2 linked regions of the Caenorhabditis elegans genome follow. The protein of the gene in region 1 interacts with the protein of each later gene in a biochemical or structural test. Each region holds a gene or a part of one and is shown in the gene's direction. Other genes may lie near its edges.

Evidence for each region.
Region 2: of the proteins of ced-4 (region 1) and ced-3, one has a biochemical effect on the other in vitro, tested with the Caenorhabditis elegans proteins (4 studies listed by BioGRID, with this or other methods).

Annotation. Positions count from the first base shown.
Region 1 is NC_003281.10:4,846,769-4,861,143, forward strand, and holds ced-4 (Cell death protein 4), read left to right. Parts: upstream 1-5,556; coding exon 5,557-6,007; intron 6,008-6,058; coding exon 6,059-6,152; intron 6,153-6,197; coding exon 6,198-6,285; coding exon of another isoform or gene 6,286-6,287; intron 6,288-6,405; coding exon 6,406-6,540; intron 6,541-6,590; coding exon 6,591-6,928; intron 6,929-7,485; coding exon 7,486-7,761; intron 7,762-7,809; coding exon 7,810-7,915; intron 7,916-7,961; coding exon 7,962-8,189; downstream 8,190-14,375. Other genes in the region: nonu-1 (Smr domain-containing protein), read right to left, coding at 304-458, 507-802, 858-1,224, 1,560-1,846, 1,896-2,082, 2,136-2,329, 2,502-2,612, 2,661-2,826 and 1 more; F26A1.1 (Non-structural maintenance of chromosomes element 4), read left to right, coding at 3,770-3,772, 3,822-3,873, 3,920-3,988, 4,054-4,155, 4,209-4,717, 4,919-5,014; C35D10.8 (PH domain-containing protein), read left to right, coding at 8,568-8,572, 8,668-8,806, 8,852-8,965, 9,015-9,164, 9,212-9,304; C35D10.7 (ULP_PROTEASE domain-containing protein), read left to right, coding at 9,435-9,461, 10,091-10,573, 10,619-10,673, 10,898-11,595, 11,771-11,923, 11,979-12,129, 12,323-12,369; C35D10.6 (NADP-dependent oxidoreductase domain-containing protein), read left to right, coding at 12,576-12,635, 12,684-12,829, 13,168-13,546, 13,589-13,786, 13,838-13,918; C35D10.10 (Thioredoxin-related transmembrane protein 2 homolog), read right to left, coding at 14,075-14,234, 14,283-14,375. UniProt on the Caenorhabditis elegans protein: Component of the egl-1, ced-9, ced-4 and ced-3 apoptotic signaling cascade required for the initiation of programmed cell death in cells fated to die during embryonic and postembryonic development.
Region 2 is NC_003282.8:13,193,587-13,211,108, reverse strand, and holds ced-3 (Cell death protein 3 subunit p17), read left to right. Parts: upstream 1-6,971; 5' UTR 6,972-7,042; coding exon 7,043-7,177; intron 7,178-7,240; coding exon 7,241-7,386; intron 7,387-7,664; coding exon 7,665-7,918; intron 7,919-9,106; coding exon 9,107-9,438; intron 9,439-10,350; coding exon 10,351-10,564; intron 10,565-10,618; coding exon 10,619-10,746; intron 10,747-10,819; exon of another isoform or gene 10,820-10,969; intron 10,970-11,100; coding exon 11,101-11,340; intron 11,341-11,816; coding exon 11,817-11,879; 3' UTR 11,880-12,848; downstream 12,849-17,522. Other genes in the region: cho-1 (High-affinity choline transporter 1), read left to right, coding at 1,040-1,150; C48D1.9 (VHS domain-containing protein), read left to right, coding at 1,443-1,449, 1,745-1,827, 1,875-1,945, 2,120-2,450, 2,831-2,914, 2,959-3,072, 3,633-3,641; C48D1.1 (Zer-1-like leucine-rich repeats region domain-containing protein), read left to right, coding at 13,727-13,784, 13,835-14,077, 14,427-14,551, 15,019-15,284, 15,401-15,564, 15,610-15,883, 16,215-16,817, 17,146-17,311.

The DNA of each region.
Region 1 (14,375 bases):
AGAAATACATAAAAGAAAAATTTAAAACGCAAATTTCAACGCGGAAATTTGAAAAAAAATTGAGATCGGTGAAGGGTAAAGTCATGGAATGGGGGAAATGGTGAGGAAATATTGGAAAGAAAATACATTATTTGGATGGTTTCTTGAGGGGCATTGTGATAGATACCGTATTCTCTCAATACCTACTGCAGAGGCATAAGAAACCACCGTAACTTATTACAAATTCAACTTTTAACTTTCTTGAGTGCATTTCAAAAAATACAGCGCAAAGAAAAGCAGAGATATTTGAGAGAATACGGTATGCTAGACTTTGAATCTTATACATCCATCATTCACGAGTTCATAATTATAATCATTGTGCTGCAGCATTGCCAAAACTTGAGGTTTAATCTTGGCTCCACATTTCGAATTATTACCAGATCCAGTTACCACAGTGATTCGTCTATCAAGGTTTCTAGCTAAAAAATATGAATATTTTTGGCACAAAATATTTCAAAAAATATTACCAGCTTTCAAATGATATTTGACTGCTTCAATCGCTTCTTTCACAAGTTTAACTGCTCCATCAACTGACATGTAATGTAAATCAAGAAACCATGGATTGTTGTGGGCTTCTCGAATTTTCCGATCAAGTTCTTTCACTTCCGATGATTTTTCAATTTTCATTCGTGACGCTCGATCGACAATTATCAATTGGCGATATTTCGCAGCAGCCATCGAATTAGAAGATGTGATGCGATCTGCTTCGATTTTCTGTCGAGTTCTAATGGCAAGCAATTGGATTTCTTCCAATTGGGAATGTCTGAAAATGCGAAATGTTAGAATTTTCATTTTTAAATGTTTACAAACTGGCTAACCTTCCACTTCTTTTCTTTAGGAAATGATTTTCCTCTTCTTTCTTCGATTTTTTCGGCAACGAAAGACGAAGTGGACTCGGTGAAGACGCAACTTTTTTACTCCATGTCGGTTTCGGTTTCAACTTCACCGCATATGTATTCTCTACTTCGCCATTACTCAAAAGAATTTCACGAGTAAAGTCCACTTTTCTACCAGCGATATTATACGCTTCACGGACTACTTTTTTATTAGTACCCGGAAATGATTCCTCTAGATTTGCAATGTTGAAATAATCCTCTTCGATCAAATCATTGTCTCCATTTTCGTCGTTCATTTCAGAGTGCAAGAGGAGTGCGATTTGTTCATCATTCTCGGTATCGGGATTATCTGAAAATAATTTTATATTAGGGAAAGGATTTTGAAATATTAAGTGACGTTTCTAAGGGGTTATGTCAAAAAAAAACTATGTTATTAAAATAACTCTTTTTTTAATTTAAAATCGATTGATTACAGGTTGGGGTGATTATACCCAAAAAAATAACTTTTAGATACGTACAATTTTGCGTACTTTAAAAATGTTTCCACAAATAGTTATGTTGATAGTTATGTTAATTAATAATTTTGTGCTGACTATAAACTTGAATCTCTGCGGTTTTTAATTTTTCTACATTCTGGAACAAGGAAAATTCGTAGTTATTTTCATTCGATTCTGCAAAACTTACACATTTCTTCCACAAACTTGAGTGCAAGTCTCTCAACTCTTCTAGCTTCAATTTCTTCTTCAATAGTCATATTTGAAACAGTGAAGCTCTCCAAAGCTTCAATCTCATCGAGAAGAATTCGTTCGTCAACTGGAATTTCTCCTTCAATGAATTCTTCGCCGAGATTATACATCAAATTGAACGTCTTCTCGAATCCAAGAACTTGAAGATAATGACGAAGCTCTATAATATCCATTTTACTGAACACGTGACGAAGCAATGAAAATGCGATTTCGTCAGATGTACCGCTGAAAATTGACTTCTCGAATTTTGTTTGAATTTTTGAAAAATACTTACACTAAAAGTTGAAGAGAAGGTTTGAAAACAGTTTCCCCATATTGAGATATCTCAAAACTCTCCGTTTCAGTTTTTCTTTCAACCATACGAACTGGTCCTTTCCAAATACTTGAAACATTATGTTCTTCACCAGAAAAAACACCACAATGTTTGAATACCGAATCAAAGCCTGCCAGTCCGTAGGTAACTGAAAATTGTTTTATTTTTAGTTGGATAGTTAAAAAAAGATTTTAAACTTACTACACTGAACGTCTACTTGAGTACCGACACTTCTCATTGATTTAACTTTGATTTCAGGAGTCATTGAGAATATTTGAGATAGTGAGGATGTGGATGAAGTTGTCGATTCTGTCAGTGATCCTTTATTGACTGAACTGATTGGTGATTTACACAGGACACTGGTAATCTCCGTATCGATGTGGAAATTTGAAATTCTGAAAATTGTATTTTTAATGTTCAAATTACACGCTTGCCAAATATATTAAAATTACGTGGTGCCAGAGTGTTCAACATGGTCAAAAGCGTGCCACATCACTATTCTATGGTTTAAAAAAACTTTAGATGAAAATGTGGGAAAGCCTGACACCAACTGAGCTTTTGGCTTACTTTACTGAAGCTTCTCCACCAATTACTAAATGTTCCCAGCCGAGTTGATTTTCTTTTAATTGCATGATTTTCGACTCGATAGACCCGATCTCTTCATCTTTTTCGCTTCTTCTGTAAAATGAAATATTTAGAAGAAAATTCAGGAATTAAAACTCAAACTTTTTGCATTCAATTGCATCGTGTCTCCAATCCGTGTCCGGCTCCAACACGAAAATTTCGTAGTGGCCATTAACCGCTAACTCTGCGAATTTTTTAACACTTGATCGTTGTACGTTCTCCTCGTCTACAACGATAAGATGTTTATCTTCATCGATAAATTTTCGCACTGAAATTAATTTTTATTATGTACACAAACAATGTTTAAATTAAATACCTGATCTTGTTATATTATTGGAAACATCGTTTTTCACAATAACGCCGTTTTCGGAATGGTTTACCAACTCTCGAGCTAATGTTGATTTTCCGGATCCCGTAACTCCGCGAATTAAAATAATTGTGCGATGACCTTCGACAAGGCATTTTTGAATATCCGATATCTCAGCATCGAAATTAAAACACTGTTCATGCTTTCGTGGTGACATTGTTGGCTGATCACTGAAAACTTTTTTTCATAAAACGAGTGATAGATTTTTAATAATGATTTTTCAGGCTTGCGTCGTCTATCACGTGAAATTGGGGAGAGCAAGACGCAGAGATGGAAAGAAAACTGGGTAGAAGTCACAATCCACGCACACTTCGTGAAGACATATGAATTGTGGAAAAGGACGTGTTAAAGCCCGTCCCCTTTTTCAAAATGAAAGTTATGAAAATGTGTCGAAGTTTCGACACATTTTTTTTTCGCGAAACAATGTTTTAATTATGAATAAAGAAGGAATCTGGGCGCAATATATACAAAGCCGGTTATTAGACACCAGAGCTTTATTGTTGCTTTCATTTTCTACCGATGGGTCTAAAATACAGGAAAAAGGAAAATAAAACATAAAAAAACCATTTCAAAATCATAAAGTTTACACTTTTAAATTCAAAAAATAAACAAAAATGTGTTTCTGTGCAAACACTCGACGGCTTATGGTACCAATGCACCTGATTTGACGACGATTGATATTCCCGGCAATTCGAATTGCAAAGCGGAGCAGCTTGCTCTTTGTTTGCTTCATTTAAATAATATTTTATAACTCTTCACTTTTTCTAACAATTACTTTTTATAAAACATTAAAGTTCCGATAAACATTTACAGCTGTCACTCAATTAACCTATAACAATCCTGGATGGTGAGAGACTAGTATTTTAAAACATTTTTAATTGAATATATTATTCCAGGACGTTGGAATTGCGAGTACATCTAACACAAACGATGTGGAGTTTGACGATGGTATATATTATTGATTAACATTCACATGATAATGGTTTTCTTTCAGATTTCATCCGACATGCTCGTCACATGCCGATCAATAAATTAATTGAAGAGCTGGCAATGTTGGAACACGGTAAACCAGCTGTCAAGATTATCTTTTATTGATTTTATTTTAATTATTAAATTTAAATGTTTCAGACAATCATCCACTTTTACATACTGCTCGCCGGAACTTCGATAAAGATAGAAAAGTCCAGAAGGATCGAATTGAGTGCCATCGCGCGAGAGCCGAACTAAAAGGTATCTTTTGAATTGTTGAAAACTTTGAAAAGCTCAAAATACAAATTCTTTAGCAAAAAATGATTTCAATACAAGAAGTGCCGCAGATCAAGCAGAATGCACATTGCGGTTAACGGAATTGCTAGACGAATTCACGAAAAGGAGTGATGAAATGGACAAAACAGTTTTGCATGAATACGGAGTCATCGATATTCATAAACAACAGTCAGCTCCGCCTGTGTTCGAGTCCAACAAGAAAACTCTGCGAGGACGTGGAGGAGGACAGCTTGTTGAGCCAGTCACTTACTTCAATTCAAATCAGAATACTCGAATACCTGAATTCAAGCTGAATTTGTCTTTCGAAAATCCGAGAATTCGACAAGAGTTGGATATTATTATGAATCGGCCGAATTCGCGTCGAATCATTGTCTGTTCGGTATCGATTCAGAAACCGAAACTTGTGATCGATAACAAGTCATTCAAACACGGCGAAGATGTCTATGCGTATAACAGAATATTTGGAGAAATGCTCGCAAAACTCGAAATTGTCACCGATAAAATGATTAACTTGAAAGGGGCTAATGTAAGTTATCTGATGTTTCTACAATTAAAAAAATTGTTTTTTTTTCCAAATTAATTTTCGAAGATTAACGAAAAACGATTAAAAATCAATAAAACGCAATAAAGAGGGCTTGGCTTTCTTTTTAATTTAAATTATAATTTTTCTGATTGTTGTATGAAGCTACAAAATGTACTGTTTTTGTATTTGAATATTGTATTACAGGGTTGGGATTCTCGGCAAATATCAGCGACAGTGGAAGATTTAGAAGAAGGACGTGTGACAATCACTAAGCAAAGAGGAAAGGATAAAGGATTGTGATATTTCACTGTTTTACTCATTCGCTTTTTAAATAAGAACTATATGCCGATTTGCCGATATATTTTTGTTTATTAGGCCTCTCACATTCCTGTACAATGTTTCTACCAAATAAACTGCATTTTTATCTGAAAATTCGAATTTATTTTTGTCTACTTTTTACTCGTTGCATTCGAGATCAGCATATCTTCCGGTCTATTTATATTCAACGATTTTTATAAATTAGTACTCCTTCATGTTTAATTTCATTTTATCTGTAAGCTTTACTGTATTTTTTTAAAATCTTTCTTGCTTCTATCTGATTATACAATGTTCTTTACTCATTTTCAAGGTATTTTTATGCCTCACAATTTATGCACATTTCGGGCTTGGAGATTTATCCTCTATATTACATGCCTGTTTTTTTAAAGTGTATATAATGTTTAACAAATAATTTTTTATCAATGCTATTGTATATTCTCCAGCTAACCGTTGTTTCGAAAACATCACCTAGCATTTTAAAATTCACAAAATCTTGCTTCCTTATAATCAAGAAGATTTTTCAGATGCTCTGCGAAATCGAATGCCGCGCTTTGAGCACGGCACACACGAGGCTCATCCACGACTTTGAACCACGTGACGCATTGACTTATTTAGAAGGCAAAAACATTTTCACAGAAGATCATTCTGAACTTATCAGTAAAATGTCAACTCGCCTCGAGAGGATCGCCAATTTTCTTCGAATCTATCGACGTCAAGCTTCTGAACTTGGACCACTCATCGACTTTTTCAACTACAACAATCAAAGTCACCTTGCTGATTTCCTCGAAGACTACATCGATTTTGCGATAAATGAGCCAGATCTACTTCGTCCAGTAGTGATTGCTCCACAATTTTCCCGACAAATGCTCGATAGGAAACTATTGCTTGGGAATGTTCCAAAACAAATGACATGCTATATTCGAGAGTATCACGTGGATCGAGTGATCAAAAAGCTCGACGAGATGTGTGATTTAGGTGAGAAAACTGGAAGCTCTCGTGTTTATTATAATCTTGCTTAAACTTCAGACTCCTTTTTTCTGTTTCTACACGGCCGAGCTGGATCCGGAAAATCAGTAATTGCATCACAAGCTCTTTCGAAATCTGACCAACTTATTGGAATGTGAGTGGTATTATCTGAATCCTACGGATCTTCATTCTATTACAGAAATTATGATTCAATCGTTTGGCTCAAAGATAGTGGAACAGCTCCAAAATCTACATTCGATTTATTTACGGATATTTTGCTGATGCTAAAGTGAGTGAATAGAGTGCATGTAACATTCAGCATGATTTTGAAATTATGAAAATTTGACCTGGTTAGCTTTTAATTTGATATTTCGTGACGCTTGCATGTTTTGTGTGTTTGAAGACGAGCCCGTGTTGTGAGCGACACGGATGACTCGCATTCGATCACCGACTTCATTAACCGTGTTCTTTCAAGAAGCGAAGACGATCTTCTCAATTTCCCATCGGTGGAGCATGTCACGTCAGTTGTACTCAAAAGGATGGTAAGTTGCTTGCCGATTCTGGTACAATATCTTAAATTATTGGTTTTTAGATCTGCAACGCACTCATTGATCGTCCAAATACTTTATTCGTATTTGATGACGTAGTTCAAGAAGAAACAATTCGTTGGGCTCAGGAGCTACGTCTTCGATGTCTTGTAACTACTCGTGACGTGGAAATATCAAATGCTGCTTCTCAAACATGCGAATTCATTGAAGTGACATCATTGGAAATCGATGAATGTTATGATTTTCTAGAAGCTTATGGAATGCCGATGCCTGTTGGAGAAAAAGAAGAAGATGTGCTTAATAAAACAATCGAACTAAGCAGTGGAAATCCAGCAACGCTTATGATGTTTTTCAAGTCTTGTGAACCGAAAACATTTGAAAAGTGAGTGGGACATACCAATTTGAGACTTTTAAAATAATTTATTCTACAATAAAAGTTAATCAAAAAGTTTCATAGCTGATTGTCTTTAAATTTTACGAATTGAGGATCAAAATCAAGAATTAGGATCCTGGCACGAGAGAAAACTGTGTAGCTACCGTACCCGAGAGATTTTCTTGATATTTGCCATCGATTTAATTTTTTAAGAAAATTATCGTTTTACATAATTGAACAAGAGATACACGGTCTCGACCCGACGGAAATTTTTTAAATGAAAGCGAGTATGAGCCTGTTTTCATTATTTTTCGATTTTCTCTTGTTGTTTCTTTTTATTTAAAGCCTTTTATTTTGAAACAAGTCTAAAAATATTAAAAACTGAATAAAATATTTAAAAAAAATCAAGTAAAATAGAAAAACAGCAAGGCTGGAGACTACTGTACTTCTTAAATCCGCATACTCTTTTTATTTAATCATTTTCCGGAATGTCGAAACGAAATAATACATTTTTAGTCCAAAATCGCTAGGTATATTCTTAAAATTATCAAACATTTTGCATTCAGAATGGCACAGCTTAATAACAAATTGGAAAGTCGAGGATTAGTCGGTGTTGAATGTATCACCCCTTACTCGTACAAGTCACTCGCAATGGCTCTTCAAAGATGTGTTGAAGTTTTGTCAGATGAGGATCGAAGTGCTCTTGCTTTCGCAGTTGTGATGCCTCCTGGAGTTGATATACCCGTCAAGCTATGGTCATGTGTTATTCCAGTTGATATTTGTTCAAATGAAGAAGAACAATTGGATGATGAAGTTGCGGATCGGTTGAAAAGACTCAGCAAGTATGAGTCTTGAAATTTGAAGATTTAAATTAACACTTAAAATTTCAGACGTGGAGCTCTTCTCAGTGGAAAACGAATGCCCGTTTTGACATTCAAAATTGATCATATTATCCATATGTTCTTGAAACACGTCGTTGATGCACAAACTATCGCCGTATGCTGAAAATGTCTCAACTTTCAATTAAATTTTAAATTTTCAGAATGGAATCTCAATTCTCGAGCAGCGTCTTCTTGAAATAGGAAACAATAATGTATCAGTACCGGAGCGACATATACCATCACATTTCCAAAAATTCCGTCGTTCATCAGCCAGTGAGATGTATCCAAAAACTACAGAAGAAACTGTGATCCGTCCTGAAGACTTCCCAAAGTTCATGCAATTGCACCAGAAATTCTATGACTCCCTCAAAAATTTTGCATGCTGTTAAAACCTATCGTGTACAATATTGCCTGTATATTCCCCTCGAAATACGTTTATACTTTTTCGCACGAGTTTTCTCATTTTTTCATTTGTACTTGTTTTATTTCTCTCCAAAATTTCAGATCTATCCCAAATGTTCTTAAATTTAATGTTTTCTACAGATACTCAACACATCTTGTTTCATCTCATCCTTGCTTTTTTTTTTCAAATATATTCAGTTTCTTTTATAATTTTAATTAATCGAATTAATACATTCACGTAAAGAATTTCGTGGACTATTATTTTATCGCATCCAAATGATTTATTCCCTATTGTTCGAAACTTCCAAATTGATCATTTTTAAACACGCCTCATTAAATTGAAAGTCGTACTTTTAGTCTCGAACATGAAGTAAGTTATTTTCTGTGTTCTAAATTCAAAGTGCATTCCAAAAGGACATTTGATGAGTTTTCACGAAAACCGTAATTTTTACAATTTCCTTTCAGTTTTGAAGATGTTCGATTTCTTTCCTCTGTTGGCGTCATTACTACATTTGCTTTGCTGCTTCACTTTATCGAGATTCTTGCCATCAATGGAGTTCCATCTAGACCGATAGCAGTCTTCATATCATTATCCCTGTATATTGTACTGTTTCAGTATTTTAACTTATCGATTACGTACTATTTTCAGTGGTTCACTGTTTTCGGTCAATGGGTGACACGTGCTCGACGAGCAATTTTCAACGAACGCAATCTCCTAGTCACTTATCAACCAAGAGCCCTCACCCATGGACATCTCTTTGTGGTATTTGCATGATTCAACGAAGTTTTAGTCTTAAGATTCATGATTTCAGCCAGATCCGCCGACGCCTTGTCGTCTGTCCATTACACCATGTGAATCGGGAAGTGACACGGAGTTCAAGAATGCACGGGATGCTCATTACAAAGATGAATTTCATAGAGCGATTAAAATGGCAAACGAACGACTAGTAATTCGACAAGAGGTTCAAATATTATTTATTTACATTTTTAATACTGGAAATGCTTTCAGAGTACCCAAATCATGAGAATGGAATTCAATACTGATACAAGCTCGCCACCAACATCTCCGGACAAGTCAGAAAAATCACCCGAATTCTTCTAAGATTGACTTCAATAAAATTATTATTTTTCGTTTTGTTGTTAGATATACCATTTTAAACAGTTTCGGTCTGAAAATATCGGAATGTTGGTCTTCTTCTTTCATTCTTATTTACTATTTCAGGCGAGAAATCATGCACCAAAATAACGGAGATTATCGGGTAAATAATAATAAATGTTTACTAAAAGCTACAGTACTTTTGCATCCTTCAAGGGAGGTGCATTCATGCGGAAGAGTCTCGCAGCGAAAACGCGATAGCGCTTACTGTAGAATTTCAGTTTGGAAGATTCGAGTTTTTTGGGCCTCCATTTTTCCTTCTTTTATTGAATTTTCTCAGTTTCTTCGGCAAGGTTCATTAAGTACAGTTAGCCATCAATTTTTCTATTATTATGTTCATTCTGAATGAATGCACACGCTTTCGAAAAGAGATAAGAACATTTATTTCAATTACTCTGCAGGAAGGTAGAATCAATGCAAGTGAAAGCGCGCGAAACATGTGTTTTCAAAATCTATGACGAAATCTCTATGTTCTAGGTGTGGAAACCCGCAGTTTCTTTTAAACAAAAGTTAATATTGTTGTTTTATTAACACCCCCTTTGAAATTTAACTCGGTCTACCCATTTTCCTACACGACTTTGCTTCTTTTTGTTAATTTTTCTGATTTTTTAGCATTCAAGAGAGCCAGTTAACATTTTTAAAACTATTTGGTATCTATAGTTTTTTCCAAACAAATATTCTCATCGTGTAAAAAATTTTCTCATTGAATTCTAAAGCTTTGATGTTTTTCAGGTCAGAGGATCTCGTCCATCGAGAAGTTCTGAGCACGCCGGCCCTTCTCTCCACTGCAAGAAGCCCGAAGGTTCCATTAGAGATACTCTTCGACTGTCTGGCAGCTTCAAAATCTACAAAGAGCCTATGCCGGAACTGGTATGTGACATACACTTGGAAAAGCTTGCGGAAAACATCCAAAAGTATTCGAAAATCGAAGAAAGGAAATACAGAGAAAACGATATGCATGTGAATGACGATTCACATAGTTCCGATAGTAGACCCACATCGGATAATGAAGTTAGCTCGAGCTCTGACAGAAATAACGATGAACCAAGTGTGCGGAGAAAGAGAAAATCCGTCGAGAATATGTGTCATGAACGAGAGCACCACGGGGATCATTTACAGATGCAAGTAGCTTCAGTGATTGCATCGAACCTGGGACCCATGGTGGAGATTGTGGAAAAGAAGCTCTTGCAACACAAAAATGCGGAAAAACTTTTGGTAAGCAACTGGAGTAAACTTGATTACTGAATATTTCTTTTTCAGAACGATGGCCGGGAAGTTTTCATTAAAACGTTGGAGGAACATAATCAGAAAAAAGGTATTGTGATAATAATAACATTTATTTGTCTCTGTAATAGCTATAGTGGGTGTCAGATGCTTTACATATTTTTGATTAATTTCTTTAAAGGCTCATTGTAGGGAGACACTTTTATTTTGATGATAGGAACTTTTCACAGCACATGTGCCTTCCATGTAGCTTTAAAAAATATGTTTCCACTGATATATAATCTTCCGCACTTTTTTATCTAAAAATAATTTCAGAAAAGGTTGAAAGAAAGGCGAAGCTCGTAGCAATACCACCAATGAAAGCTAGAAACAGGAGGTCTTCACGCAATAGCTTGGTGTACATAGATGGTCCTTCTACTTCTGAAAGTCATTCTTCAATGGTTCAACAAGTTCCCATCATCGACAACATTCCCGAAGTGCTCGAAAATGAGACAGCTGTCTGTTCCATTTCTAGTGAAGCAGATCATAATTCGAGAGGAATCAAAGATAATCAAGAATTTGCAATTGAAATCAGTGGGGAAGTGTCTCGAACCGACGACATTTGTGATGACTTTGCCGTGTTCCTCAAAAAATGCACAGTACTATTGACGAAATTTATTGACTCCTACTATGATTTCCGTTCAACTATGAAACTTAAGCCAGAAGATGCCATTGAGCACTGGAGTGCTGAACGTTTGACCAAAGAGGAACACGCCGCGAGGGTCACAAGATTTGATGTGGCGATCGCTAGAGCGACACGTGTGCAGTATAACATCGATATCAAGCTTCTAACAAAGCAAAGTTTTGTGTTTGACGATGATCGTGAAGCTGCCATTAATAAGAGGCTCGCCCGAATCGAGCGTTTTGTGAACGAACAACATGAAGAAATCAATTGGTTTTGTTTTTCAAATTTTTCACTCATGGATATTGGAGAAACGAAGGATAGATATTGTCTCGGCGATTTTTATGACAAGGTATTACAACTTTTAAAATGTAAAATGGCCACGAAATACTGAATTTGATAACGAGACTGTTTCAAAAATTAATTTTTTTTTTTTTGAAGTCTTGTTGTAAAATTCGGTTTTTAGGGTCATTTTAACTATTGAAACAACACAAAAGTTTGATATATAATGTGTATTTTTTTCGCAGGCTATCAGTATGATTCCAAAAGTGAAAGATGTCCCGAGTGTGGTGCAACTGGCGAAAGAGTGTAAGATGTGGTCCGCATTTGAACGAATTCTCAAGCAATACAATTTTGAGCCGCTGAAAGTTTTTGAAGAATTGCAAAAAATGCTTGAAAAGGTACATTTCAGTTGTTCTGTTCGAATTTAAATGTTTACATAAAATTAATTTTCAGGATTATTTTCTACCGAAAGGTAAGATCTTCTGCCAATTCTTGCTCAATGTCGCCCAACTGTTTTCCTATGATGTCGTTAAGAATGAATGGTCTTGCATCAAACAAATCGACGGGACGTTGTTTTCGGGAGTCCCATTTGATCGCGATGGAAGTGAGTTGGCTGAAAATTATTGAAAAAAAATTAGAAAATTACATTTTTCATCTGAAAAATTGGAAAGTTAGTCTGAAATTCTGAAATATCACAAAAGAAATGCGAAAACGATAAATTTAAAAAAAATTAAAAATCCAAATTAAAAAAAAAACCGAAAACTTCAGATAATCATAATAATCTATGTATTTTTCAGATCTACTCCCCACTTCTCAAAATTCGCCGACCGAATGCTCTTCTTGATTGTGTCATTTTTCTCATTTTTCCATGTAACACATCTAATCATTTCATTTTCATCTTACCATTTTCATATTTTAAACTTGCTGCACAATACATTTTTCCTTTTAAAAATCGTTTTTTTTTTCAGTCTTTTTTGGTTTGAAGCCAACAGTTATTTATTTACTTTTAAACAATTATTTCAAGTGTAATTGTTTTGCTTTTCAGGATCAATGGAGCATCGTGAATATGTTAAGAACAACATGCCATTGATCGGAATTGGCACGTGGCAGGTATTGACTTCGAATAAATCAATTTTTTGACTAAAAAATAAATTTAAGGTTCAAAAAGAAGAAATTCTTCGTCAAGTGATTGATGCAGGTTTCAAAGAAGGATATCGATTCATTGATACGGCACAAGTCTATAACAATGAAGCTAAAATTGGTAGAATCTTGGAAAAATTGCTTCCAGCAAATGGGTTGAAGAGGTAGGTTTTAAAAAATTTATAATTGTTTCTAAATCTTTTTTTAATCCTGCGAGAAAAAACTGGTTTTGGTGTTTCTTTGATTTGAAACCCATTTTCTCTAATTTTCAGCAAATTGTTTCGCTAAAAATGTTTAAATTGAAAAATGAAAAAAAATTCGACAAATTATATTCTAAACCAATAATCAAAGCAAACATTTAAAAAAATTTAAACTAGGTTATTCATTCAATATTATGTAATTCAAATATAGTTCAGCCACTTTTAATCTACAAAATTGAGAAATAATTTTTAAAAATTCAATAAAACCACAGAGCCACCAATTGAAGCTATCTTTTTTTCAGAGAAGACATCTGGATCACGTCAAAGTTAGCCCCATCTAATGCTGGCGTTAAGAAAGCTCGGGAAAGCATTGAGGAGTCACTGAGCAATCTTAAAGTCGAATATTTGGATCTTTTGCTCATTCACTGGCCTGGAAGTTCCCTGAAAAGCGAAAATCCGGCAAACAAGAAACTGAGAGTGGAAAGTTGGAACGTTATGTGTGAAATGATGGCTGAAGGAAAATTGCGTTCAGTTGGGGTCTCTAATTTTGAGATTTGTCATTTGGAAGAATTGAAAAAAGATTCTAATGTTGTCCCAGCAGTCAATCAAGTTGAGTATCATCCTCATTTCCATCAGGACGATCTGGTCAAATACTGTAACGAAAATAACATTCATTTCCAGGTGGGATTTTTCTAAATCTCGCTCTCTTGAAGTTTTTTTCAGGCGTACAGTAGCCTTGGCAGCCCAACATATCGTAAACAATTATCCGAAGAACCTCTGATCAAAGAACTTGCTCAAAAGTACAATGTCGAGATTCCTGTGCTCCTTCTTGGATTTGCTTATTGCCAGGGAATTAGCGTACTTCCGAGAACTACAAATCCAGAGCATGTTGCTACCAATTTTAAAGTTACTAAGCTGGCGGTCTGTTTCTAGATGGTTTTTAGTCCTAATGTCTAAAATTGGGATTTACAGATTACTCAAGAAGACATCGATCGTTTATTGGCTTTGACTGTCGAACACAAAACTTGCTGGGATCCTCGCGTAGTGGTTTGATTTCCAAAATCATTTATCATTATAAATTTAAAGCTACAAATAATCCTCTATATTCTAAATAGATGTATAAATTTTAAATGCCGAGTTATTATTTCTTGTTGTTGAAAGATCTCGTGATTGAGTCGTATATGGAAATTTTGAGCTGTCATCGAATATTTAATCTTCTTTCTTCGCTTTCGCGCCTTTTTTCTCCTTCTGCTCATTGTACAAATTGAGAAGATCGAATGCAAGAACACAGTTCTCTTCACTGAACACAAATGGAACAGCACGACGACTATCGTTGACTAGTGGACGACGAGCGATTTCCTTTGCGTCCCTAGAAATTACAGATTGGTTGAAAATTAAAATAAAGCTTAAATCTTACTTGAATACACAAATAGTTGGTAACTGTCGTGACATTGGATGAGCATTCACACGGAACCGCTCGCCTTCTTTTGCCCATCTTCCAATATCCAAT
Region 2 (17,522 bases), on another chromosome or scaffold:
ATAATTATTAATTTTCAAATAGGTGACCTTTGGTGGCCGTGAGAATGCAAAAACTCGGTCATCTCATGAAAATTGTGAATTTGCAAGGAAATTGTGGAAAACCCAGAGTTGGAAAAAATAATTTGCGAAATAAAATTTTACCGTATTTCTTCTATTAATATGGCTGCAATACTATTTTTCGAAGGTCTTCCCGCTTGCTATACTAATAGGGAGTGCAAGACTATTAGGGAGTGCAATACTAATTTTCAGAACATTTTTCTGTGTTGGGGCTTACTAGTATTTACTTGAAAAACTCCAACTTTAATTTGGAAATATAGAAAATTTGATTGAAATTGCAACAAAAAGGTACAATAAATTCAATCTCATAAAAATGTTCTCATAAATTGTTGCAAAATATTCAAAAAATGTTATTAAAATCTTAAAATTAGTAAGGAGGGTTTGCACCAAAAAAAAGTAGGTGCAAGAGTCATTGGGAGGCCATACTAATAGAAGATATACGGTATTTAAATTTTTTCGGAACAATTGAGACAAATTTTCAACAAATTCCAACAAAAATTAAAAACGTTTTTTTTTATTAAAAAAAAAAGAGAAAACTCGGCCACCAGTTTTTTTTGTTAAAATCTGTTTTTTTTACCAGTTTTTTCTTGAATTCCTTATCTATTTTTGGAACTTGATTTAGTTAAAAAAAAGTTTAAAAAAAGAAATAAAAAGAAAATTAAAATTACAGCACCCTTCCCTGGGAAAAGGTCTTGTGCGTCGTGGCCGTCTAAAATCGGTGGCCAAGTTTTTTCCTGACCATTTTGCACTTTTTTGGCTGAGGCGCCCCCCTAACGCCTCAAATTTAAAAATCCAAATTTCGAATTAATTTTTGCCTTTTCGACAGTGGTCGAGTTTTTTTTTTCACGGCTACCAAGTAAGTTCCCGGCCGCTCAAGTTTTCTGAACATTTTTCCACCTTTAAAGCAATTTTTGAGGCAAAGTTCAGTCTCCCCGATTTCTAAATTTCGAATTTTTGTTCCTAATTTCAAAACTCATTTCAGGCTCCAAACGGAACACCGGCTCCAGTACATCCGAACCAACAGCCGTCTGATGAAAATACATTATTACATCCATATTCGGACCAAAGTTATTATTCCACAAATAGCAATTAAAAGAGACGAACTTGTTCCACGTGTTCACTTAATTTCCTCCCAAATTTTTTTTTGTATTTTTTTTAGTTTTCGTTAACTTTTTTCTCACTTTCTCAAATTTCAGATCTCTATTAATAGACCCATCCGGTGGATACACTTTAGTTTTTATTTATTTTCCTAAAATTTGAAAGAAAAAAATTTGATGAATTTTGACATGTTCAGAAATTCCAATAAAAACGTGACCAATTAATTATTTTTGTTTAAATTTTTCTTTTTTCTTTTTTATTTTTCTTTATTTTTCGGTAAAAGTCTGATGGCAAGTGAGTTTTTGAAGCGGCGCTTTTGCTATGTGACCTAGAAAAAATGGGAGAAACTCGGTCACTCAATAAAATAAAAACGAATCTAAATCGCTGGCCGAGTTTTTCAATTTCCTAGGCAACGTAGGCGACGCCACTTTGTGTGATGGTGTTGTGAGACCCTTGCTAGGTGGCCGAACATGATAAAAACTCGGCCACGCTCGGCACGTTTGGGTTAATTTTTTAAAGCTGTTTTCACGAATTTGCGCATAATTCTTGATTTTCCAGTTTTTTTAAACTGTAAATTATGAATTTTCAGGTTCTTCGATAATTATCTTAATACTCTTCTCAGGTTTTACTGTCATCTCCTGCCAAAATGGTGACAACTGGGCAACTTGTGAAGTAAAAAATTCAGCGGTAGAAAAATCAATAAAATTAAAAATTTCCAGAAGTTTCCAAACGACTTTAAATGTTATGATTGGTGTATGCGATTGAATCGATATGCGGAGATTTATCTTGGGTTAGTGAATTCTGCGCGTCAAGTATGGTGCATCAGACCGTCTGTGGGTTTACGCGGCTTGTGTACTCCTCGAGGAGAACTCCAAATTGACTATTTTTATTTGAATTTCAAACGACCCAATGCTCCAAATCTTACGCGCAATTTGAAACTACACAAAATCTGTACAATTTGCAGAAACCGAGAACGCAGTGCCCGTCAATGGCAAGAAGTTGCAAAAATCGGGATAAGTTGCATGATACCAGCTGCTGTTGTATTATTCATTTGGATGAAAATCCGAAACTCCATTCGATTCCATCGCGAGAGTGTGAAGAGACGCAGACACGAGAGAAAGCTCAAGTTTTTGCAAACTAATCGAATTCGAGAGACAATTCTTGACCAGCCGACGAATGAGGAAATCGGGCAAGATTTGGCAAAACAATTCCCAATTCGAGAAGGAGTTATTTATAAGATGAAGATGCGGAAGGAATTGGAGAAAAAATATTTAGCTTTTAGAAGACTCAGATTGGTGGGGGCATTTCTAACTTTCGAAGCGATTTTGAAATTTTCGCCCCAAAACTACTGTACCCGGTCTCGACGCGACACATTTGTTGTTAATGCAAAAATTGTGTTCCTTTAAAGAGTGCTGTAGTTTCAAACAGGTTTTTCATAAAACGTTTTTCGATTAAAAAAACATAAAAAATTCTAAGAGAAAACTATGAAAAGTCTATGAATTTCCCGCAGAAAAAAACAATTTGAAACTACAGTACTTTTTAAAGGCGCACATCTGTATTCAACAAAAACATCGTGCCGAGACCTTTTGACGCAAAAATTGCCAAAGACTTAGTAATATTTACAGTTTACATCATATTTTACGCACAAGTTTAAAAAATTATTCAAAAAATTCAGACTCAAGAAATGAGCAATGGAGCATTGTTGCAAAAGAGTATGAATGACAAACTCGATTTACCGGAACAATTTACTGCACTTGAGGTATAGAAAATAGGAGCTTTCGAGCAAGAAAATTTGAATTTCAGCTGGTTTGTGACGCAGAGCAATCGATTGTGGAGGAAGCAAATTTTCACAAGGATCCGGAATTTGTCATTGGAAGTATTGCAATGGAATATGATATTGTTAAAATGGATTCGAAGGTAATCTCATTTCCTGTGACTTCACGCATGTTTTGTCCTAAAAAAGAAAGGTTGTACCTCCCACGTGGTGTCTCATTTCGGCTTGATGTATGTAGATCTACAAAAATTGCGGGAGAAGAGACACAGAGTTCTCAACTGGCTTTGAATGATTAAGAACTTGCTGACGTCACATTTTTTTTTGGGTAAAAAATTCCCGCATTTTTTATAGATCAAACCGTAATGGGACAGCCTGACACTACATTCAAAAATAGGAATTTTGGCTAGTACGGTAGATCTGCCAGATTATTGAAAAAAAAACATTTTATCGACTTTCCATTTACTATCCACTCAAAATCTTTTCTCGTACAAAAATATTACAAATCCGAAGAAAATTTTAGGAAAACATGATTCCACACTACAGTAGTCGTTAAAGTAGTCTAACACGAAGAAATTTTTCGTTCGCGTCGAGACCACGTACCGTAACTTTTTGAACTTTGCGAAATAGTTTTTTTTGCAACGACTAATAACGACTATAGGGAAAAAATCACTGTAGGAAGTTCAAAAAATTTGCCTTATTTCAGAGAAAATGACACGTCGAAGGAGAAGGATTTTTTTACTCTAATTATTTTTCTTACTTGTTGAAAAGAAATAAATAAATTTAATTTGTACCACGCGTGACCTTTTTAATTCAAATTCCGACAAAAAAAACCCACATGGGCCAAGGATGGTCAGTCTTAACTTTAGTGTTGATTGTGAGATTCGAAATTGCTCGTGACAAGATGAGACTTCTTCTTCTTCTTCTCCTTGCAACGATTTCAATGTCTGCCGCTGTAAATGAGGTAAGCTTTTAATTTCTAGACGTCTCTTTCTATATATATTTTGTTTTCAGTTTGAACTAACACTCAAACAACAGAGCACTTTATGACGGCACACTTCACAACTTGCTAAACTTTTTGTTCGTGGACACTGCAACGTACGCAGGCGTCGGTGAAAAACTTGAGTCAGCTTATCTCGAAATCGTTTGTTGATAAATAGTCAGGATTTTGTTTCAGATTCAATTTTGGAAAGTGCCGTGAGAACCGTGCGAAGAAGCTCATCTCGGGACATGGATATTTCATCGCTGAACATGGAAAAGGAGTGTGGGAGAACTTGTACTATCTTCCACGTAGCAACGGCGAGTATCTGTTCCTTCCACGTGCTTAGATGTGTGGGATTGATGGACGCGATATTTGATTTTTTGAAATTATTAAGTTCTGTTCTACAGAATTTTCAATAAAAAGTTTTCTTTGGCTCTTGCGTTACTTATGTTACTAATTAGTGTTATTTATATTATCAACAAGAATTAAAATTAAAATTTTAAGAAACATTGAAGCTTTGCATTAAAAATTTAAAACGTTTATTTTAATTCAATTTTTAAAATTTGGCTCACTGCGATTCTGCGTGAAATGTGATGTTTCTACAGTAACCCGTACAACCAAGGCATCGAACTTCACGACATTTACGAATTCAAATTTGAATTGCAAACTTTTTAATTTTATCGATTTTCTTTCTTTTTGAGCTTTATCAATAGCTCTAAGCGATTATTCAACAGAATTTCACTTTTTTACGCCTAAATGATTGAAAATTTGATAAAATATCAATAATTTACGGTTATCCTCTTCGTAATCTTCGCTTTCTTCCCAGAGTAGTGAAAATATCGACTTTTTGATAGAAACTGGATTTTTTAACTTCCCTGTTCGAAAAACTATTTTTCCTTAAATGAGATCTGAAATAAGGTGATAAATTAATAAATTAAGTGTATTTCTGAGGAAATTTGACTGTTTTAGCACAATTAATCTTGTTTCAGAAAAAAAGTCCAGTTTTCTAGATTTTTCCGTCTTATTGTCGAATTAATATCCCTATTATCACTTTTTCATGCTCATCCTCGAGCGGCAGCGTCTCAAAGAATTGTGAGAGCAAACGCGCTCCATTGACCTCCACACTCAGCCGCCAAAAACAAACGTTCGAACATTCGTGTGTTGTGCCTCCTTTTCCGTTATCTTGCAGTCATCTTTTGTCGTTTTTTTCTTTGTTCTTTTTGTTGAACGTGTTGCTAAGCAATTATTACATCAATTGAAGAAAAGGCTCGCCGATTTATTGTTGCCAGAAAGATTCTGAGATTCTCGAAGTCGATTTTATAATATTTAACCTTGGTTTTTGCATTGTTTCGTTTAAAAAAACCACTGTTTATGTGAAAAACGATTAGTTTACTAATAAAACTACTTTTAAACCTTTACCTTTACCTCACCGCTCCGTGTTCATGGCTCATAGATTTTCGATACTCAAATCCAAAAATAAATTTACGAGGGCAATTAATGTGAAACAAAAACAATCCTAAGATTTCCACATGTTTGACCTCTCCGGCACCTTCTTCCTTAGCCCCACCACTCCATCACCTCTTTGGCGGTGTTCTTCGAAACCCACTTAGGAAAGCAGTGTGTATCTCATTTGGTATGCTCTTTTCGATTTTATAGCTCTTTGTCGCAATTTCAATGCTTTAAACAATCCAAATCGCATTATATTTGTGCATGGAGGCAAATGACGGGGTTGGAATCTTAGATGAGATCAGGAGCTTTCAGGGTAAACGCCCGGTTCATTTTGTACCACATTTCATCATTTTCCTGTCGTCCTTGGTATCCTCAACTTGTCCCGGTTTTGTTTTCGGTACACTCTTCCGTGATGCCACCTGCTCCGTCTCAATTATCGTTTAGAAATGTGAACTGTCCAGATGGGTGACTCATATTGCTGCTGCTACAATCCACTTTCTTTTCTCATCGGCATGCTTACGAGCCCATCATAAACTTTTTTTTCCGCGAAATTTGCAATAAACCGGCCAAAAACTTTCTCCAAATTGTTACGCAATATATACAATCCATAAGAATATCTTCTCAATGTTTATGATTTCTTCGCAGCACTTTCTCTTCGTGTGCTAACATCTTATTTTTATAATATTTCCGCTAAAATTCCGATTTTTGAGTATTAATTTATCGTAAAATTATCATAATAGCACCGAAAACTACAAAAAATGGTAAAGTCTTTTAAATCGGCTCGACATTATCGTATTAAGGAATCACAAAATTCTGAGAATGCGTACTGCGCAACATATTTGACGCGCAAAATATCTCGTAGCGAAAACTACAGTAATTCTTTAAATGACTACTGTAGCGCTTGTGTCGATTTACGGGCTCAATTTTTGAAAATAATTTTTTTTTTCGAATTTTGACAACCCGTAAATCGTCACAAGCGCTACGGTAGTCATTTAAAGGATTACTGTAGTTCTAGCTACGAGATATTTTGCGCGCCAAATATGATGCGTAATACGCATTCTCTGAATTTTGTGTTTCCGTAATAATTTCACAAGATTTTGGCATTCCTCTTTAAAGGCGCACGGATTTATTCCAATGGGTCTCGGCACGCAAAAAGTTTGATAGACTTTTAAATTCTCCTTGCATTTTTAATTCAATTACTAAAATTTTCGTGAATTTTTCTGTTAAAATTTTTAAAATCAGTTTTCTAATATTTTCCAGGCTGACAAACAGAAACAAAAACACAACAAACATTTTAAAAATCAGTTTTCAAATTAAAAATAACGATTTCTCATTGAAAATTGTGTTTTATGTTTGCGAAAATAAAAGAGAACTGATTCAAAACAATTTTAACAAAAAAAAACCCCAAAATTCGCCAGAAATCAAGATAAAAAATTCAAGAGGGTCAAAATTTTCCGATTTTACTGACTTTCACCTTTTTTTTCGTAGTTCAGTGCAGTTGTTGGAGTTTTTGACGAAAACTAGGAAAAAAATCGATAAAAATTACTCAAATCGAGCTGAATTTTGAGGACAATGTTTAAAAAAAAACACTATTTTTCCAATAATTTCACTCATTTTCAGACTAAATCGAAAATCAAATCGTACTCTGACTACGGGTCAGTAGAGAGGTCAACCATCAGCCGAAGATGATGCGTCAAGATAGAAGGAGCTTGCTAGAGAGGAACATTATGATGTTCTCTAGTCATCTAAAAGTCGATGAAATTCTCGAAGTTCTCATCGCAAAACAAGTGTTGAATAGTGATAATGGAGATATGATTAATGTGAGTTTTTAATCGAATAATAATTTTAAAAAAAAATTGATAATATAAAGAATATTTTTGCAGTCATGTGGAACGGTTCGCGAGAAGAGACGGGAGATCGTGAAAGCAGTGCAACGACGGGGAGATGTGGCGTTCGACGCGTTTTATGATGCTCTTCGCTCTACGGGACACGAAGGACTTGCTGAAGTTCTTGAACCTCTCGCCAGATCGTAGGTTTTTAAAGTTCGGCGCAAAAGCAAGGGTCTCACGGAAAAAGAGGCGGATCGTAATTTTGCAACCCACCGGCACGGTTTTTTCCTCCGAAAATCGGAAATTATGCACTTTCCCAAATATTTGAAGTGAAATATATTTTATTTACTGAAAGCTCGAGTGATTATTTATTTTTTAACACTAATTTTCGTGGCGCAAAAGGCCATTTTGTAGATTTGCCGAAAATACTTGTCACACACACACACACACATCTCCTTCAAATATCCCTTTTTTCCAGTGTTGACTCGAATGCTGTCGAATTCGAGTGTCCAATGTCACCGGCAAGCCATCGTCGGAGCCGCGCATTGAGCCCCGCCGGCTACACTTCACCGACCCGAGTTCACCGTGACAGCGTCTCTTCAGTGTCATCATTCACTTCTTATCAGGATATCTACTCAAGAGCAAGATCTCGTTCTCGATCGCGTGCACTTCATTCATCGGATCGACACAATTATTCATCTCCTCCAGTCAACGCATTTCCCAGCCAACCTTGTATGTTGATGCGAACACTAAATTCTGAGAATGCGCATTACTCAACATATTTGACGCGCAAAATATCTCGTAGCGAAAAATACAGTAACCCTTTAAATGACTATTGTAGTGTCGATTTACGGGCTCGATTTTCGAAACGAATATATGCTCGAATTGTGACAACGAATTTTAATTTGTCATTTTTGTGTTTTCTTTTGATATTTTTGATCAATTAATAAATTATTTCCGTAAACAGACACCAGCGCTACAGTACTCTTTTAAAGAGTTACAGTAGTTTTCGCTTCAAGATATTTTGAAAAGAATTTTAAACATTTTGAAAAAAAATCATCTAACATGTGCCAAAACGCTTTTTTCAAGTTTCGCAGATTTTTTGATTTTTTTCATTCAAGATATGCTTATTAACACATATAATTATCATTAATGTGAATATCTTGTAGAAATTTTGGTTTTCGTTCTAGTATGCTCTACTTTTGAAATTGCTCAACGAAAAAATCATGTGGTTGTTCATATGATGACGAAAAATGCATTTTTTATATATTTTCCCCTATTCATGTGTGCAGAAAAATGTAAAAAAGCGCATGCATTTTTCGACATTTTTTACATCGAACGACAGCTCACTTCACATGCTGAAGACGAGAGACGCGGAGAAATACCACACATCTTTCTGCGTCTCTCGTCTTCAGCATGTGAAATGGGATGTCGGTCGATGTAAAAAAATGTCGAATAATGTAAAAAATGCATGCGTTTTTTTACACTTTTCTGCACAAATGAATAGGGGGAAAATGTATTAAAATACATTTTTTGTATTTTTCAACATCACATGATTAACCCCATTATTTTTTCGTTGAGCAACTTAAAAAGTAGAGAATATTAGAGCGAAAACCAAAATTTCTTCAAGATATTACCTTTATTGATAATTATAGATGTTAATAAGCATATCTTGAATGAAAGTCAGCAAAAATATGTGCGAAACACCTGAAAAAAATCAAAAATTCTGCGAAAATTGAAAAAATGCATTAAAATACATTTTTGCATTTTTCTACATCACATGAATGTAGAAAATTAAAAGGGAAATCAAAATTTCTAGAGGATATAATTGAATGAAACATTGCGAAATTAAAATGTGCGAAACGTCAAAAAAGAGGAAATTTGGGTATCAAAATCGATCCTAAAACCAACACATTTCAGCATCCGCCAACTCTTCATTCACCGGATGCTCTTCTCTCGGATACAGTTCAAGTCGTAATCGCTCATTCAGCAAAGCTTCTGGACCAACTCAATACATATTCCATGAAGAGGATATGAACTTTGTCGATGCACCAACCATAAGCCGTGTTTTCGACGAGAAAACCATGTACAGAAACTTCTCGAGTCCTCGTGGAATGTGCCTCATCATAAATAATGAACACTTTGAGCAGATGCCAACACGGAATGGTACCAAGGCCGACAAGGACAATCTTACCAATTTGTTCAGATGCATGGGCTATACGGTTATTTGCAAGGACAATCTGACGGGAAGGGTACGGCGAAATTATATTACCCAAACGCGAAATTTTTGCCATTTTTGCGCCGAAAATGTGGCGCCCGGTCTCGACACGACAATTTGTGTTAAATGCAAAAATGTATAATTTTGCAAAAAACAAAATTTTGAACTTCCGCGAAAATGATTTACCTAGTTTCGAAATTTTCGTTTTTTCCGGCTACATTATGTGTTTTTTCTTAGTTTTTCTATAATATTTGATGTAAAAAACCGTTTGTAAATTTTCAGACAATTTTCCGCATACAAAACTTGATAGCACGAAATCAATTTTCTGAATTTTCAAAATTATCCAAAAATGCACAATTTAAAATTTGTGAAAATTGGCAAACGGTGTTTCAATATGAAATGTATTTTTAAAAACTTTAAAAACCACTCCGGAAAAGCAATAAAAATCAAAACAACGTCACAATTCAAATTCAAAAGTTATTCATCCGATTTGTTTATTTTTGCAAAATTTGAAAAAATCATGAAGGATTTAGAAAAGTTTTATAACATTTTTTCTAGATTTTTCAAAATTTTTTTTAACAAATCGAGAAAAAGAGAATGAAAAATCGATTTTAAAAATATCCACAGCAACGAGAGTTTGAAATTACAGTACTCCTTAAAGGCGCACACCCCATTTGCATTGACCAAAAATTTGTCGTGTCGAGACCAGGTACCGTAGTTTTTGTCGCAAAAATTGCACCATTGGACAATAAACCTTCCTAATCACCAAAAAGTAAAATTGAAATCTTCGAAAAGCCAAAAAATTCAAAAAAAAAGTCGAATTTCGATTTTTTTTTTGGTTTTTTGGTCCCAAAAACCAAAAAATCAATTTTTCGTCAAAATACCAAAAGAAACCCAAAAAATTTCCCAGCCTTGTTCCTAATGTAAACTGATATTTAATTTCCAGGGAATGCTCCTGACAATTCGAGACTTTGCCAAACACGAATCACACGGAGATTCTGCGATACTCGTGATTCTATCACACGGAGAAGAGAATGTGATTATTGGAGTTGATGATATACCGATTAGTACACACGAGATATATGATCTTCTCAACGCGGCAAATGCTCCCCGTCTGGCGAATAAGCCGAAAATCGTTTTTGTGCAGGCTTGTCGAGGCGGTTCGTTTTTTATTTTAATTTTAATATAAATATTTTAAATAAATTCATTTTCAGAACGTCGTGACAATGGATTCCCAGTCTTGGATTCTGTCGACGGAGTTCCTGCATTTCTTCGTCGTGGATGGGACAATCGAGACGGGCCATTGTTCAATTTTCTTGGATGTGTGCGGCCGCAAGTTCAGGTTGCAATTTAATTTCTTGAATGAGAATATTCCTTCAAAAAATCTAAAATAGATTTTTATTCCAGAAAGTCCGACGAAAAAATTGCGATATAATTACGAAATTTGTGATAAAATGACAAACCAATCAGCATCGTCGATCTCCGCCCACTTCATCGGATTGGTTTGAAAGTGGGCGGAGTGAATTGCTGATTGGTCGCAGTTTTCAGTTTAGAGGGAATTTAAAAATCGCCTTTTCGAAAATTAAAAATTGATTTTTTCAATTTTTTCGAAAAATATTCCGATTATTTTATATTCTTTGGAGCGAAAGCCCCGTCCTGTAAACATTTTTAAATGATAATTAATAAATTTTTGCAGCAAGTGTGGAGAAAGAAGCCGAGCCAAGCTGACATTCTGATTGCATACGCAACGACAGCTCAATATGTTTCGTGGAGAAACAGTGCTCGTGGATCATGGTTCATTCAAGCCGTCTGTGAAGTGTTCTCGACACACGCAAAGGATATGGATGTTGTTGAGCTGCTGACTGAAGTCAATAAGAAGGTCGCTTGTGGATTTCAGACATCACAGGGATCGAATATTTTGAAACAGATGCCAGAGGTACTTGAACAACAATCGATCTGCTAACTTTTTAAGGCACAGAAAAATAGGCAGAGCGTCCTTTTGCAAGCCTGCCGCGCGTCAACCTAGAATTTTAGTTTTTAGCTAAAATGATTGATTTTGAATATTTTATGCTAATTTTTTTGCGTTAAATTTTGAAATAGTCACTATTTATCGGGTTTCCAGTAAAAAATGTTTATTAGCCATTGGATTTTACTGAAAACGAAAATTTGTAGTTTTTCAACGAAATTTATCGATTTTTAAATGTAAAAAAAAATAGCGAAAATACATCAACATCAAGCATTTAAGCCAAAAATTGTTAACTCATTTAAAAAATTAATTCAAAGTTGTCCACGAGTATTACACGGTTGGCGCGCGGCAAGTTTGCAAAACGACGCTCCGCCTCTTTTTCTGTGCGGCTTGAAAACAAGGGTATCGGTTTTAGATTTTTCCCCAAAATTTAAATTAAATTTCAGATGACATCCCGCCTGCTCAAAAAGTTCTACTTTTGGCCGGAAGCACGAAACTCTGCCGTCTAAAATTCACTCGTGATTCATTGCCCAATTGATAATTGTCTGTATCTTCTCCCCCAGTTCTCTTTCGCCCAATTAGTTTAAAACCATGTGTATATTGTTATCCTATACTCATTTCACTTTATCATTCTATCATTTCTCTTCCCATTTTCACACATTTCCATTTCTCTACGATAATCTAAAATTATGACGTTTGTGTCTCGAACGCATAATAATTTTAATAACTCGTTTTGAATTTGATTAGTTGTTGTGCCCAGTATATATGTATGTACTATGCTTCTATCAACAAAATAGTTTCATAGATCATCACCCCAACCCCACCAACCTACCGTACCATATTCATTTTTGCCGGGAATCAATTTCGATTAATTTTAACCTATTTTTTCGCCACAAAAAATCTAATATTTGAATTAACGAATAGCATTCCCATCTCTCCCCGTGCCGGAATGCCTCCCGGCCTTTTAAAGTTCGGAACATTTGGCCAATTATGTATAAAATTTTGTAGGTCCCCCCCATCATTTCCCGCCCATCATCTCAAATTGCATTCTTTTTTCGCCGTGATATCCCGATTCTGGTCAGCAAAGATCTTTCTCATAGCCCATTCCATTCGAGCTTTCTAATAGGAATTTGAAAATTTTCGAAATTCCAGTAAATAATATTGGAAAATGGATTTTTCGAGTTTTCAGCAACACAAATTTACTTGAAACCCCATTTTCCAAAATTTCAATTTTTTCAAATTTCCCGCTATCTTCCAAAATACTCTTGTACGTTTATTATATTTCCCTCGTTTTTCTTCGATTCCTCCTCTCCGCGCACCCAATAAGTTTTATATATGTTGAGATTTATATAGCTTGTTATTATAATTATATATTTATAGATTATTATAGTTGCTTTTCTCGCCGTATGTTTGTGTGTGTGTGATTGGTATACATAGATAAAAGAAAACAAGGTGTTAACAAAACAAAGGTGAAAAATAATCAACAATTAAAGAAGGAAACAAGCTAATATAAAATTTCGCACATATATGATATGCAAGCTTCTGACAATTCCCTAGTGAGTACTACAGATTAAGAATATGTGCACAAAAATTAAAGGCTGAATTTAAGCTTCTCAAACCTCCCAGATTACAAATATTACGGGAACATATAATTCTGAGCATGCGTACTGTGCAACATACTTGACGCGCAAAATATCTCGTAGCGAAAACTACAGTAATTCTATAAATGACTACAGTAGCTCTTGTATCGATTTACGGGCTCGAATTTCAAAATGAATTAAAATAATTTATTTGTCGATGGAATATTAAAATTAAGCAAAACATGAGAAAATAATACGAAATAACCAAGGGAAAAATGAGAAGTTGCTGTCACTATTCAAAAAGTCCCTCATTTCGAAAATGGGGACCGTAAATCGACACAAGCGGTACAGTAGTCACTTAAAATAATTACTGTAGTTTTCGCTACGAGATAGCTTGCGCGTCAAAAATGTTGCCGAGTACGCATTCTCAGAATTGTTTGTTCCCGTAATATAATTTTCTAAATGTACGTCCTTATATTATATTCTCAAAGTGCAAGAAGTCATTAGAAGTTATAATATATGAAATTTTTATCAGATTTCATATTTCAGTTTTTGAAACAATATTATGTAAACTCAAAATTTATCTGACCTCAAACATTCATGACTGTTCCCACTTTCTCATTCCCACGAGGTGCAATGATAGAGCTACATTAGAGACAGGTGTTCATAGGACCATACTATTTGCTCGCAATCCTCGATTGTTCACCCTTTCTTGTTTTTTCATTCTCTTTCGTTCTGTAAGATAGCACTTCTCTATTTTCTGGTTATTCCAAACAATGACCAAGCCTCTTCATGACATTGCCTGCCAAAAAATTGCCGAATTCGTTCAAAATGGTTAGTTTTTTGGAGATTTATCTCAATCTTACACTAAAGTATTTTTACAGGTTCATACGATAACAGAGAATTTGAACTTGATTCCAAATCGAGTAACATTGTTTATTCATATTTAATGAATCGAGATAAACCATTCAATTTAAAAACCATCCATAAACTGAACGTAACAAAAGTTACACTACACCCCCAGACACTGGATGAGAACACTGCAAGGCAACTGAAACAATTCTCGTTGAAAGAATTGAAAATTGGAAATTTTTCTAAATCTAAAAGTTGGTGCATATTTAGAAGAAGTAAGTTATTACGAGCAATAGATACATTTTTTCATTTTGTTTAGAATCAGATGTTTCACGGGTTTCTGGCTGGGCCCCTCGGTGTATTTTGTGCAAACACCGTCACGCGCAAACATATGTTCCATACACGATAAAGGCCATTCAGTTATCGATTGTTCCATTCAATTTACAGAATTTTCAAAAAAAAATTAGAAATTTCGAATGGAAAATCTTAATAAAACCTTTAAAAAACGTTGAAGTAGTGGAAAAGTTCTAAAAGAATTAATGATATTTGGTAAAAGGCTTTATACATCGAACATTTTTTATACAAAGAAAAATCAATTTCTGTAATAATCCCTCAATTTTTTAGAAGAAACCCGTCATGTTGATATTGTCCGCATTTTGGAAGCTGTTCTGAACGAGGAAACCCGTAAAAATCTTCAGTACTTACACATCGAAAAAGATCAAAAACTAATGAAAAGATGGACTGCAAAGGTATTAAGTTATCTTAACATATAATGTTTTAACTAGGTGAAACTGTTTTTCACACACTTCCCGTCACACAAAGGGTTCGCGACAACGCGAAATTTATGTGTTTAAACGAAGTGACGTTATTGGTCTACGGCAATCTACGGCTATTGGCCCATATTTTCAAATGAGTTTTAGAATTTATTGCGCTCCAAATGTTAGCATCAAGAGTGCCAATTTTTTTTAATTTTTGGAAAATCGAAAAACAAATAACAATGTTTGGAAAAAAAAACCGATTCTTTGACAAATATTTTCAAATTTAGACAATTTTCTTCCTCTCCAGAAGAAAAGTGTATGTTTTCTTATGTTTTTTTTAAATAATCATCAACATAAACGACACTTTATAGAATGTAAATAATTTTTGGTAACTTTCTAAACGATTTTTTCAATTTTTTAAAATATTCTCTGAAAAAAACCGCACCATTATTTTTCAGATTGGAAACATGTTACCATCACTAACACATTTAACTATGAGCGATGTTCATATCAATGAAGATGATTTCTATCAACTTTTCGGTAATTTTTCAAATCTTCGGTCATTGGATATCAGTGGAACCAATATCTTAAACATTGCCGGTATTTCGAGATTAAAACAACTGGAAGTGCTCGCTCTGAGAGATTTTTCAATTGCCACATATACGGAGCTTAAAGATTTATTTAACTTAAAACACCTGAGGGTCTTGGATGTATCACAAACAAGGTAAGTAAACTTTTTAAAAACTGTAGCTATATAGTCAACGATTCGAATTCAATCTTGCTAAATGTTTCTTTTAACTTTTCTCTTGCATTATCTTTCTAATTGTTATTTTCATTCAGATTTAATCTCCATTCTAGAAATAATATTGTCGAGCAGTTCACAGAATGTAAAATGGAATTACCAGAGTTAAGATTCATGGATTGTACCAGAACCTCGTTGAGCGGTGACATTTTAGAGTGTTTACTAAAAACGCAACGTAATCTTCAGTTAGTTACAACAATAAGTACGATGTGCAGTTTTGCAGTTTCAATACCAAATATCATTTCAGTGACTGAAGCGGAAACATCACAATATAATGATGTTCGGGTTTTGAATACTGCATACTTTCATAAATCTGTTCAAGCTCTAGTTTACTGTTTAACTGCAAGAAAAGAATTTGACAGTGGATACTGTATGAAAGCAATCAGAATTTCAATCTCTGAAGATAACTTGCAAAATCTCAATATTCCTTCATGTATAAAAACAATTGTAAAATCAATGCAAACGTTTGATTCAATATCTGTTACGCAAAATGGGCTCAAGTGTTTGATAATATTCGGAATGTAAGTCGAAATTTTTTCTTCGAAAACTTGATAATTCTTCGCGCCTTTCTAACCAAATTTATTTTTTCATTTACTTGAGCAATAAAGACACGTTTTATAAATTATAGTAACCACTTCTTAAAAGTATATGAATATGGTTAACATCAGTTAAGACTTTTTACTATTTTTCAATTAAAAAAAAACGCTTCTAAACAGGTCAAAGATAATTAAATTATCATGTTTCACGCTAAATGTGGAACTCAAAACTATGAAAGCTATACACTTTCAAGAAAAAGCAAACCAACATTTTAATTACGAAAATAAACACAAATTGAATATAATCAACTTTCAGGCTCTATTCCAACCAACTGTGTTCAAACGGAGTGACGTTATTGGTTGAAGCTTTAATGAGCTTCGTTTATTTGTACAAAAGGATGATTTCAGAAGCATACGTAAAAGTCAATATTTCCTACTGGAATGCCGTCGAGAAACTTGTAAATTTGAAATTGGGAAAACTCGATTTTGATAAAATAAGCAAAACCGCTATGAGTTTTCTATTAGAGAATCGAGTAAGCAAGGCTCTTCGTACCAGAGCATCAAGTGTTTTGTGCCAGTGCATACATAGAATGCATTCTGATGAATTAAAATCTCTATCTGAAAAAACTGAGAATGTGAATCGATTAGTCGATATACTGGAATGGAGTGTAGGACAGAAAAATGAAACGAAGCTTTCGGAATTTTTTGAAATCACTATCAAAATGACTGAAAAAAGTTCAAAGGCTTGTACCAACATGATACAAGCTGGAATAATAAGTATTTCATTGAGTTGCATGGAAAAGGTTGAGTCTAATGATATTACTACGAAATGCTTGGAGTTGTTAACAAATCTGTCATCCGCTCTGAATTATGACTCTTTGCAAGAACTCTACACATCATCAAATGTCGATAAGATTGGGCAAGTATTTAATAAAATTTTCTTCGTTAATTAAAAGTCAAGTCTACTTTTGAGGATTTGATACCTAAACAGGGAACTTCTAGTGCTTAACTCTTTTATTGAGCCTTCAGTAGATAGAACCGCTGGTAGAACAAAAAAAAATCATTATAGTTTAATCGAAAAAGTTCCAATTAATATTTCAAGTTCAAAAATACTTTCGGTATGTACATGTTGTTGGAATCCGATTTTAAAATATCAAAAAGTCAACAACTTTCTTATTTTTTCTGTGCGTGCTAAAACGTAGCTTACTTTTTCTGTAACAACCTTAACTTTTTTTTTCTTATTTCAGGCTAATGCTTACTCGACAGAAAAATGACATAACGTTCCAAACTACTTCATTGCTCACAAAACTATTGCACCACGCTGAAGGGAACCAGGTTCAATATAAACTCATCAATCAGTTACTGGCTGAAAGTAATCGCTTAGCAATTGGAATTGACAAGATTCATATTTGAAAAATTCTTTGAAAAGTGCCAAACAAATTTGTTCTATTAAAAGTTCCCATTAAAAAACCCCAATCAAATTTCCCTAATACATTACAAATGACCCTATTGCATCATTCCTCAACTGTTCAGAAGTTAGGGCTCTTTACGGTTTTTGAAAACTTGTTTCTTTTATGTAAACTTGCATGTTTGAATCTTTCTCTGTTCCTGATTAAAAATCAAC